2 linked regions of the Sus scrofa genome follow. The protein of the gene in region 1 purifies or fractionates together with the protein of each later gene. This does not show direct contact. Links are inferred from orthologs where the notes say so. Each region holds a gene or a part of one and is shown on either strand. Other genes may lie near its edges.

What was found. The genes of interacting proteins can lie anywhere in the genome.
Region 2: the proteins of STK11 (region 1) and COPS8 purify together in Homo sapiens (affinity purification with mass spectrometry; 3 studies listed by BioGRID and IntAct, with this or other methods). This does not show direct contact. The link is inferred for Sus scrofa from reciprocal best matches to the Homo sapiens genes STK11 and COPS8.

What each region holds. Positions count from the first base shown.
Region 1 is NC_010444.4:77,228,356-77,233,054, forward strand, and holds the end of STK11 (serine/threonine-protein kinase STK11), read right to left. Parts: exon of another isoform or gene 4,009-4,699; coding exon of another isoform or gene 3,977-4,008; exon of another isoform or gene 3,730-3,976; intron 3,644-3,729; coding exon 3,441-3,643; 3' UTR 3,425-3,440; intron 2,985-3,424; exon of another isoform or gene 2,770-2,984; intron 2,658-2,769; exon of another isoform or gene 2,576-2,657; 3' UTR 1,533-2,575; downstream 1-1,532. Other genes in the region: voltage-dependent calcium channel beta subunit-associated regulatory protein-like, read left to right, coding at 1-748. UniProt on the Homo sapiens protein: Tumor suppressor serine/threonine-protein kinase that controls the activity of AMP-activated protein kinase (AMPK) family members, thereby playing a role in various processes such as cell metabolism, cell polarity, apoptosis and DNA damage response.
Region 2 is NC_010457.5:136,825,742-136,831,752, forward strand, and holds the start of COPS8 (COP9 signalosome complex subunit 8), read left to right. Parts: upstream 1-2,480; 5' UTR 2,481-2,621; coding exon 2,622-2,699; intron 2,700-3,681; coding exon 3,682-3,752; intron 3,753-4,888; coding exon 4,889-4,937; intron 4,938-5,836; coding exon 5,837-5,969; intron 5,970-6,011. UniProt on the Homo sapiens protein: Component of the COP9 signalosome complex (CSN), a complex involved in various cellular and developmental processes.

The sequences.
Region 1 (4,699 bases):
ACCCACACCGCGCCCAGCGGAGAGCGAGGCAAGTGGGCCCCGCAAGCTGCTGCAGATGGACAGCGGCTACGCCAGCATCGAGGGCCGCGGTGCGGGTGATGAGGGGCCTCCCAGCGCGCCAGAGAAACGCTCCTCCTTCACGAGCGCGGGCCACGAGGCCACCGTAGGCGGCAGCTTCGAGGGGCCCATGCCAGAGGTGCCCTCCCGACCCCGCAGCCCGCGTGCCTGGCCCCGCCGCGCCCCACGCCGGGACTACAGTATTGACGAGAAGACGGATGCACTGTTCCATGAGTTCCTCCGCCATGACCCGCACTTCGATGATGCTCCGTCTGCAGCAGCACGCCACCGCGCGCGTGTGCATCCCCACACGCGCAAGCAGTGGCAGCAGCGGGGTAGGCAACACAGCGACCCTGGTGCGCGAGCTGCGGCCCCAGCCCCCTCTGGGGCACCAACCGGCGCCCCCCGCCCTGCGCGCGCACCCCTGCGCCGCGGGGACAGCGTCGACTGCCCACCAGAAGGCCGCGCAGGAGAGGACCCAGCTGCCCTCGCCATCCCCGTCATCGAGGAGGAGCCCGGCGGCGGCTGCCCAGGCTCTGGCCTGTGCACCGGGCCTCAGGGCGCTCTCCTGGACAAGCTGGCAGTCAGCCTCGACGACAGACTCTTCCCGCCGCGCCTGGCCCAGCCTGTCGCTGTGGCCCCTGCGCTGGCCGCAGCCGCGCCCACATCCCCCGACCACAGCCCCGTCTAAGTCTGTGTCCTGCGCCCACCTCGTCAGCTTATACAGCACGGGCGGGGCCTTGGCACCGGACACACCTGGGGCGCGACGCCCTGGTGCGCATGCGCTGGGACTGGGGGGCCTCGCGCACAAAGCAGTGCCCCAGGCGCCCCGCGCCGCCCCAGGATGCGCACGCACACAGTTCATACCGGGCATTTAGCTGGGTCGACTAGAGGGAGTGTGGCGGATTCTCATCTTCAGACTCCTGAAGACCACGTTCCGCTTCCCTTGGTCCTGGACAGCGACCTCGAGCTGGTGACTGAGCGTAGCACACACCACTGCCGCGTCTCGGGCCCATGGCGATGGGTAGCGCATGCGCAGCGCCTGCATCCTAGAGGGGCGATGCACAGCAACTGCGCTAGACGCATGCGCAGAGAGACCCCTCCCAGGACCAATTGGGCCTCGAGGCGCGCCAGAGTCCGCGCCAGGGCACAAGCACAGTGACTGCGGGGTGCCGAGGACCCTTGAAGAATGCATCCGCCCTGGGCTAGGAGGTTGGCCCAAGACCGCGGCCGCCAACCCCTTGAAGCCGTTTACCTCACCGCGGCGAGTGCTCGCAGCAGTCCGCGCCCCCTCCAAGCAATAACCGCATCTGCTGCTGCCATCCCCAGCCCTAGATACACCCTCCAGCCCTCCTCCCAGTGTCTGCATCCCGACGCCCGCCCTCTGCATGTTGGGTGGGCCGCACGCCCCTACTGCATCAATCCAAAGAGCCGCTAGGACTCACCACTGTTTCAGACACAAAATCCAAACGATCAAGGTTTCAAGTTTCCCAAGCTTTATTTATTGCCAAAAGATGGGGCAGCCCTCGCCAGCGGCCGAGTCGCCCTGCCCCGTCCCTTCCTTCGAAGCTTCGCACTGTCAGTGTGCCATCCAGTGATGGAGTTTGTGTTTTGTTTTCTGGTTGATTATATTTACTGCATACTCTTGCTGGCTCTGAGTTTTCTCATGGGATCCAAGAGCACAGAGGCCTTGGGGGGAAAGGGATCAGGATCTCCAGGCCACTGAACTGTGCAGCCATGGGCTCTGGAGCTTTCTGGAGGCTGGGTCACCAAGACAGCACAGAGATCCAACATGGCCAAAGGCCATGTCCCTACCAGGCACTACCAGCAAGACCTGCAGACCCCGGCCAGCCCCTCCACCACAGGATCTACAAAGGGCCCCAGGCTCAGACTCTGATCACCCACTTGATAATACATCCTGCCACCCACAATTCCCAAACATCCCTCATGACCACAACTCAAATCCACCTGTTTTATTTTTTCTTAAAAAAAAAAAAAAGAAAAAAGAAAAAAAGAAACAGGAACCAACCAAAACAACAAAACAAGGCAGCCGCCTGGCTCCCTTGGGCACTAGGCATGCATCTCAGTGGACAGGCCTGGTCGTCACGCCCATCCTGCTGCCGCTGTGGTTGGCTTGAACACATCACCAGGTGTGGGAGGCGCTAACGAGTGGCAGAGTAAAAAGAGGAGTCAGGGTGGGCGAGAACCAGTAGTCTCAACGTAAAGTGCATGGCAAAGGCTGGCTCGGGGCCACACCGGGCCCTCTCCCTCCTCCCCTGGCTGGGGGAGGGGGCTCAGCATAGGATTGCAGTCAGCAGGAGATCGTGTCCACCGGCCATCAGGGGAGGGACGGGCTCCAGTCTCTGCTGCCCCTAGCCACAGCCCTCTAGGACCCCCTGGCTTCTGAAGGGGCGGTCAGCACGAAGGGTGCAGCGTCGGCCTTCCTGGGGCGGTGGGCAGCAGACCAGCAGTAGGCAGGAAGACTGAGCAGGACCTGGCTGGGGCTCCTGGAGATAGGCTGAGACCAGGACAGAAAGTGGGTCACTTCTGGGTCAACACATAGGCTCTGCATCCCAAAAAACAGGCCCAACGTGGGCTCCCTGTAGGTTGGGGAAACCAAGGCCTGGTCACACAGTGCTGGGAGGTCACACAGTGCTGGGAGTGCCTGGGAGGGCTGCGCTGCCTCAAGGGACCACCCTCTGAATTACTTACTGCCTGGAGAGATTAAGCACTGCCCTTTCTCCACAGAACCAGGTTTCCCTCCAAAGCAGTTTCTACCGTGTCTGGCTGTTCTGAAGCTGGCAGAGAAGTACTTCCAGGGCAGCTCCGTGGGAGAGGGGATGTGGCTGGACAGAGGCTACAGCCTCAGACCCCCACCCTGCTGTTCACATCCTAAGCAGGCCATGGGGCCTGTAGTCCTTTAGGGCCTTTCAGGATGGGGGCAGGGCAAACAAAGGTGGGAGAAGGAAGCAGAGCAGGCAGCAACAACCAAGATGACAGCCACGGCCCCTCCCAGCCCCCAACCTCCCACCCACCCTACACAGCCCCTCCAAAGCCAGCAGCCCCCTGTCCTGGGAGCAGCCCACACTGGGGAAGGGCGAGCCACTCAGTTTTGCAGGACAGACTGTCATCTTAAGGGGCCCTTCTTCTGCACATGGGCTCCCCAACCCCACTGAGGGCCTGTAGCCCGCTAAAAGTGACCTTCCCCCACCTCCAACCCAGACCCCGTGGTGATAAGCAGACTGATGACTGTGAAGGGCAGAGCTGGCCATAGTCGGCAGTGGCCATGACAGTGACATAAGCCAAGTACTGGCAGTACCCACAGTGTGCCCCCAACTCAGTCCTGCTGGTCCCCATCATGTCCCACCTGGAGGCAGCCACCCTCACTGCTGCTTGCAGGCTGACAGCCGGCGGATCTTGCTGCTGGCCGAACAGGCCTTGCGGGTGGGGTTGGAGGTGGCGCTGGCCCGGCGCTCCGCTCTCGACTTGGCACTCAGCTGGACTGACTCGGTGCCGTTCACGCATACAGCCTTAGGCAGGCCCCGACTCTGTACGCTCCGACCTGCCTCCTCCTCCAGGACCTGTCCTAGGAGGGAGAGGGCGAGTGTGTGCTGACTGGGGGGCCCAGACCAACACACCCCCAGTGTCTCCACCTGCCCAGGCCCAGGTCACCTCCAGCCAGTGGGGCCCAGGCTCCTCCTCCACCTGACCTGTCCAGGGCCTGCCATCACGGTCCTAATGCAGGCAGAGGGAGAGCTGGTCTTAGAGCCAATTGGCCAGGGCCAGGCCCAGGCCCAGCCCACGCTCACCTGCCTGTTCAGGTATGGGCTGCACTTGGGCAGGCTCCAGGCTGTCCTGCTCACCCTTCACTGCGGGAACATGGTGAAGGACAGGGTCCTGCGCCCCAGCCTCTGTTCTCTCACCTGTGCAAAGGCCAAACCTTGCTGGACCCTGTGGGACTCAAAGGGGGTACATTTGGGCTGGGGTGCCGACCTCTCTCCCACAACAGCCCACCCTGGCTCTCCACACCAGGCACAAAGGGAGAGACAACACCTGCTGAGTCCCACCCCTACTGTGCAGGCAGACAGCCCTCAATTGCATCTGAGGGCCAATGGCCTGGGGCTGCCCACCCAGATATGTGCTCCTGGCAAGGCATGGGGCAGAGGGAGGGGTGCAGGGAGCCCATGTGCCTGCGCTGCCCAGCCTTCTCATGTGGACATCGGCAGGGACTGCCCTTAACCGCTTTGAGCCCTTCTCTTCTCCACACAGAGCCCTACCTCCGCCACTGGCATCCAGAGCCTGACTTGGTGGCCTCTGGAACTTGCTGGGAGCCTACTGGCATCACATAAAAAGCATTTCAGGTCAGAACTCAGAGTTCAGGATGGGAGAGGGTGAGTGGGAGAAGCCTCCTCTCAGCATATAGGAGGCTGCAGGAGCAGCAGGCACTGAATGTGACCACATGACTGGAACCGGAGTGGGAAGAGCCTTAGCCCTGGCACAGCTTGGCTGACCTACAAGCAGGTCAAAGAGAAGTGGCCGCCTAACCTCAGTGCGGGGCTCTCCCCTTTCTGGTGGGGAGTACTCCTGGGCCAGGCATCTGGCTCAGGCTCTGAGAGTCACTCCTGGACAAGCCCTCCCCGAC
Region 2 (6,011 bases), on another chromosome or scaffold:
AGATTCCGGGGTTCTGAATTAGCCATCCTCCCATTTCCAACCTCCTCAATGACTGTGCTTCTCTGAGAAGAGATGAGAAGGGGGGCAGCTCACTCTAGGGGGCTCAGCCGAGGGTGATGGGTTTGCGACCTACCTCCTCCAGCCTCCAGGGCCCATGCTTCCCTTTAGCGTGCTGGCCCACCCCCTCATCCCAAGTGCCGTGGGAAACACAACCTCCTGCCACCCCAGAGTCAGCCTCTCTGGGGACCAGAGCTTCCTCTGGGTGCTGCCTCTTCTGAGTGCTGCGTCCCCAAATCACGGCCTTCTTTCCCACACTGCCCTTTATCACACCCCTGCACTTCTCCTATGACTGAAAGTTTGGGGGGTAAAAAGATAAGGGAAGCATCATACAGCAACAACCGAAAACTGAGTATTGGCCGGCGCAGACCTGGAGATCCAGCAGCCCTTCACCGTCACTTGGAGGTCCCCATGTCTAAGCCAAGTCTCACCTTAGACCCTTTTACTCCATCCCTCCACTCCCAAGACTCTTCCTTCCCTCTGCAGCTCCCAGCCACCAGTTCCCAAGTCACTGTGCCTGTCTGTTAGTTTCTATTGATTATAATTTAAAAATAAAATTAAAAACAAACAAAAAGTAGAGTTTCGTCCTCAGAATAATACCCCAAGCTCTACCTCTCACCTGTGATTGTATTTCTAAAGCTTCACTAGGAGTTCCCATTGTGGCTCAGTGGTAACAAACCCAACTAATATCCATGAGGATGCGAGTTCTACCCTGGCCTCAGTCAGTGGGTCAAGGATCTGGTGTTGCCACAAGCTGAAGTATAGGTTGTAGACATGGCTTGGTATCCAGTGTTCTGGCTGTGGCCAGCTCTGTCCGATTCAACCCCTAGCCTGGGAACCTCCATATGCCACAGATGTGGCCCTATAAAGTAAAAAAAAAAAAAAAAAAAAAAAAAAAAAAAAAAAAAAAAAAAGAAATGAAATTTCAGAGTTCTGAAATAACTATCTTCCCAATGAAATCTTTCTTGGCCAGAAATAGGCTGGGAGCCATTATCACATGTTGAAAATTCAAAATCTTGTTCCTCAAACTTTGTCGAATGATCTCAGAATCATTTTACCCTTAGTCCCTTTTCTTTTCTTTTTTTGGACGAATGAAAGTGTGTTGCTTTCATTCCCCCAAAATATCTCGAGTTCTACCAGCTATTTGCACACCTTCCTATTTAAGGTTTTTGGCAATTCTTTGAGCAACTTTTGCAGTGCTTTTCTTATCTCTATGTTCTATCTGAAGCATAACTAAACACAACCATTTCCACATGGAAAGTGTTGATTCTACAAAAATAATCAGTGAAACCGTCACTGTCTTGGAATCCTAAATAATTTTATCTTCGAGTATGGGTTTGGCAAGTCCATAGGGAGGACAGACACTCAAAGAGATGATTGAGGTATGCGTTTTCTGCCCTCCACAGTGTTTAAAATACCCCATGAATGCAGAATTCCCAGTCGACCCCAAATGATAGGAATTCAGCAAGACCCAGCTTAAGTACAAACAAAGTGTTACGTCTACCAATTGTGTGATTTCTGTGATTCCACATGAGTTAAATGCACTTATATTCGCCTTTAAAATTGGCTTCGTATAATATAAAGACAGATGGTAAGATGCATGCTAATAATTGAAATTTTTGCTTTTTCCCTTTCTTAGAATATTAAATAGCAAACTTTAGAATGCTATGAAAAGTTGAAACACTGCGGAATAAGGGAAAAGCTTTAGATTCTATAGCCTTTACGGGTAATTTCCCTTCTGCTTTTTGAACTAGTGATGTGCGTTTTCAATTTGCTTTGGGCTCACAAATCCTGCGGCTGACCCTGCAGCAGGGCGGCCTAGGCAAGGGCAGCAAACCAAAGTATAAATAAATAACGCACCATACAACGTTCGTTAGGACTGCGCAGAAAACTGAGGAGGCCAGGATGGCTGGAGCAAGTCGGAGGGATCTGGGGATTTGATCTGTGAGCGATGCCAAAGACTCTGGATTGTTAGGGATTTGAGCAGAAGAATAACAAGACGACTTAGGTTTCAAAAAGCATCATTTTGGCTGCGGTGGCTGTCCGGGAGTAGCCTGGAGGGAGGCGGAGTGAGGTCCGGAGAGGACCGAGCTCAGGCCCTGTCGGGTGGTCCACGCTGGCGCAGCCGCTCTCGGATGGGGGGCCTGCAGGAGGGGAGCCCCCAGGAAGGACCGCACCGCCTGCACCGAAGCGGGAGGGCTGCTGAAGGAGGAGGCGGGGGGAGGAACCGAAAGCTGGGTTTTGAACTTTAAAATTTCCGTGGCCTCAGAGTAAAGGCAGCGAAGAGTCCGCAGACCGGCCCCAGTCCCCGCCCTCCCTGGCTCCGAAAGCCGCGTCCCCAGACGCCAGGCGAGTCCTCCAGGACATAGAGTGCACGGGCCAGAGCGGCAGCGACCCCGCCAGGCCGCAGCGACGTCTAATGACGCGCCGGAACCGATGATGCGCCTGCGCACGGGAGCTCGGCGGCGACGGCGGCTTTTACGTCATCGCGGGCGCGACGCCCGGAGGGACAAGTCTGGGGTCCAGCTAGAAGGGGAGGTACGGCGGCGGGACCGGCCGGGAAGATGCCAGTGGCGGTGATGGCGGAAAGTGCCTTTAATTTCAAAAAGTTGCTGGATCAGTGCGAGAACCAGGAGCTGGAGGTAGCCATTCGCCTTTCGGGGTCGCGCGTGGCCTTGTGCGGCGCCGGTCTCCAGGGTAACGGGGCCCGAGGCCCAGGGCCCGCCGGGCTGGGGCGGGCGCGGGGCCGGGCGTGTGGAGCCCGGGACGCCGGGCCTGCTCCTGGCTGAGCATCCAGGCCTCGCCTCCCCGAACTTGCTGGGGGCTTTTTGTTGTTTTGTCTTCAGCCAGTGAGCCCGAAAATGCTGTGCGTCTTTGCTCCTAACACTCTCCAATATGCTTCTCGGGTTAAAGATGTTTCCTCCCCGTCGTGGGGAGAGGTGAGGGAGTCTGTGTGCGCGTTGTAGCCTGTTCCTAACTCGGAAAGTCCTTAGTCTCATGTCGCGGAAGCTTGCCGTCTTAGCTTCATTAGGACTGGTGAAATTATTTCACGAAGGTCTTAACAGTAAGGGTTTTTTTTTTTTTTTTAATTTTCTTAGAAAGGCACTTACAAGCATGTACAGTATCAGTATAAAAAGTTAATTAACCCAAAGAGACTACTGCCAGAAGCAGCAGCTCACTAATAGACACTTAACAGATGATTTTCTGAATAAAGTTGAACAAGGAGAGAAACGTCTTCGTCATTCAGCTGTGACATTTCTCTCTTCGTTACTCACTTACCTAGATTTTCAACATACCTGGTGTAACGGGCAGAATCATCATACTTGAGGAATCTGTGGGAAATACTCTTGTAACAGTAAGGCCATTTAAATAAGAATTTGAGAACTGGGAAAGGGATCCCACTGAAATGTTCCCGTGCATATATAAACTCAGTGGCCCAGAGGGAGATAATTCATAGCTGGTGACAGATCTAAACTTATCACTCTGGCTTTTAGTGTGTGACACTCTCTTTTTCTCCATCTGTAAGGGTAAGTACTATGAAATATGCTTACTTTTTAGATGCTTTGAAAAATACAAAAGTATACAAATAAATGAGCTTTTTCTCTTTTGTTTTTGGCTTTAAAGGCTCCAGGAGGAATTGCTACACCTCCAGTGTATGGTCAGCTTCTAGCTTTATATCTGCTCCATAATGACATGTAAGTACTTTCTACCTAAAGCTAAGAGAAACAGCTTCCTGAAGAAATTATTCTTGCGTTGAAGTAGCATCACTAAAACATAGACAGAAGGAGCTTTACATTTTATTGTAATAGTATATTTATTTCATATACTGAATCATGGCTTAAATCGTGATTAGGCTGAGTTAAAATGCACTTCTTTTCTTATATCTTTCTTAAAATTTTTCAATCTGTTACGATGAACTACAGTGTCAGTAAATTCCTTTAAATCTGTTAGTCTCTTCTCTTTTGTTTTGTTATGAAATGTCTGTCTTTTATGACCTGTTTACTTAATGTCACATGTGATCGATAGACTAAGAGAAACCGAAAGGGAAAATTGAGAGAGCTAAGAGGAATTTGTTACTGTCATGTATGCGATTTCTTGAAAGGTTTTGTTTTTAATTATTCCTCATTCACGTTCATTGAAGACAAGTCAGTATAACTGCGCAAAAAAGAGTCCTTATGTTCTGAAAGCCATGATTACTGTTCAGTTTTGTTTTAAAATTCTTGTAAACCTTCTTATTTGGCATCTTTTAAACTAAACTGAGATTTTTATTACTCATCTATTGTATAAATTATGTTTCTTGTTTTATAATCATGTCATTATATGTTTGTTATCGTTCAAGATTCCAAACTCTTAAAAAAAAAAAAAAAAAAAAGAAACCAAAAAATCCTGCCTTGAAGGTGTGGTGGCTCTGTAGCCACTGGTAGGAGGAAGGGTCATGAGATGGAGAAAAGCACTGTGTACCTGTATACTGTCAGGGAACAGCAGTGCCTTGAAAGTGTATGAATCTGTTTATTTTTATATATGACTAAATTATTTAGGTAGTCCTCTTTAAGTCTTTGTACTGTAACCTTAATTTAAGATCTGGATTATTAATTTAAAAATTCACTAAAAATGGCAAAATGTTACTTTGGTAAAATATTTCATGTCTTTTTATCTGGGAAACCGCTCTCATTTCACCTGGACAAAGTCATGTACAACTAAATTTCACCCTGTTTAACGTAGAGTATTTCAGAGTATACTTGTGTGTGTTTGCAGTGGGATCTAGAATTTTAGACATTTACTAGGATGATTTTTCTAAATTGCTTCTTCTTTCTTGGGGGATATAAATTAGGAATAATGCAAGATACCTTTGGAAAAGAATACCACCCGCTATAAAGTCGGTAAGTACTCTTGTGATGAATCTTACTACTTTACTGTAGTAATGACATTCACTTAAAAAGCAGTTTCAGCGAGTTCCCCTTGTGGCTCAGCGGTCGCGTATCCGACCAGCATCCATGAGGGCACGGGTTTGATCCCTGGCCTTGCTCGGTGGGTTAAGGATCCAGCGCTGCCATGAGCTGTGACATGGGTCAAAGACGGGCTCGGATCCTGTGTGGCTGTAGCTGTGGTGTAGGCCGGCAGCTGCAGCTCTGATTCGTCCCCTAGCCTGGAACCTCCATAGGCCTCAGGTGTGCCCCCCAACCCCCCAAAAGCAGTGTCTTACGAATTCTCTTGTGACTCAGCATGGGAATCTGCGTCGTCACTGCGGCCACTCGGGTTGCTGCTGTGCGCAGCTTTGACCCCTGGCCCGGGAACTCGCCCATGTCGCATGTCGCGAGTGCAACCAGAAACCCCCAAAACAAAAAGCAGTCTCGTAAAAGTTTGTTTTCTTTTCCTTGTGGCTCACAGAAGTAGTTATTAAACTGGTAATAAAGTTTATGAACAGATCTATAAATTCCTCTGATGAGAAATTGTAATTTCTGTTGGATGTTATAGAAATCTGTATATCTGTAAATATAAATAAAAATCTTTTTAAAAAGTGTTTAAGGTAACCAATTCCTGGACTACTTCTGGACTATTTTTGGAATGCCTTCTTGTGCCTTCATTTTCTATTATAACAAAAATCCGTAGAAAATGTGCAAATAAATTTTACAGTACCATTCACAGCGTTTAAAGCCCTTTGACAGTGATTGGGGTGAAAAAGTAATTACACTTTTTAAATGCCGAGTTATCTTTTAAGATACAGCTGTTGTTATGTCTGCAGAGTGCATATTCTCAGAGGCAGTGATGTTTCTTGCAGGCAAATTCTGAACTTGGGGGGATTTGGTCAGTGGGACAGAGAATCTGGCAGAGGGATTTCCCTGGCGTCTACAGCACCATCAACGCCCACCAGTGGTCCGAGACGGTCCAGCCCATCATGGAAGCACTTAGAGGTAGTGTTTCTTTGTGGTCTAGAATTAAGTTAGGCTAGACCT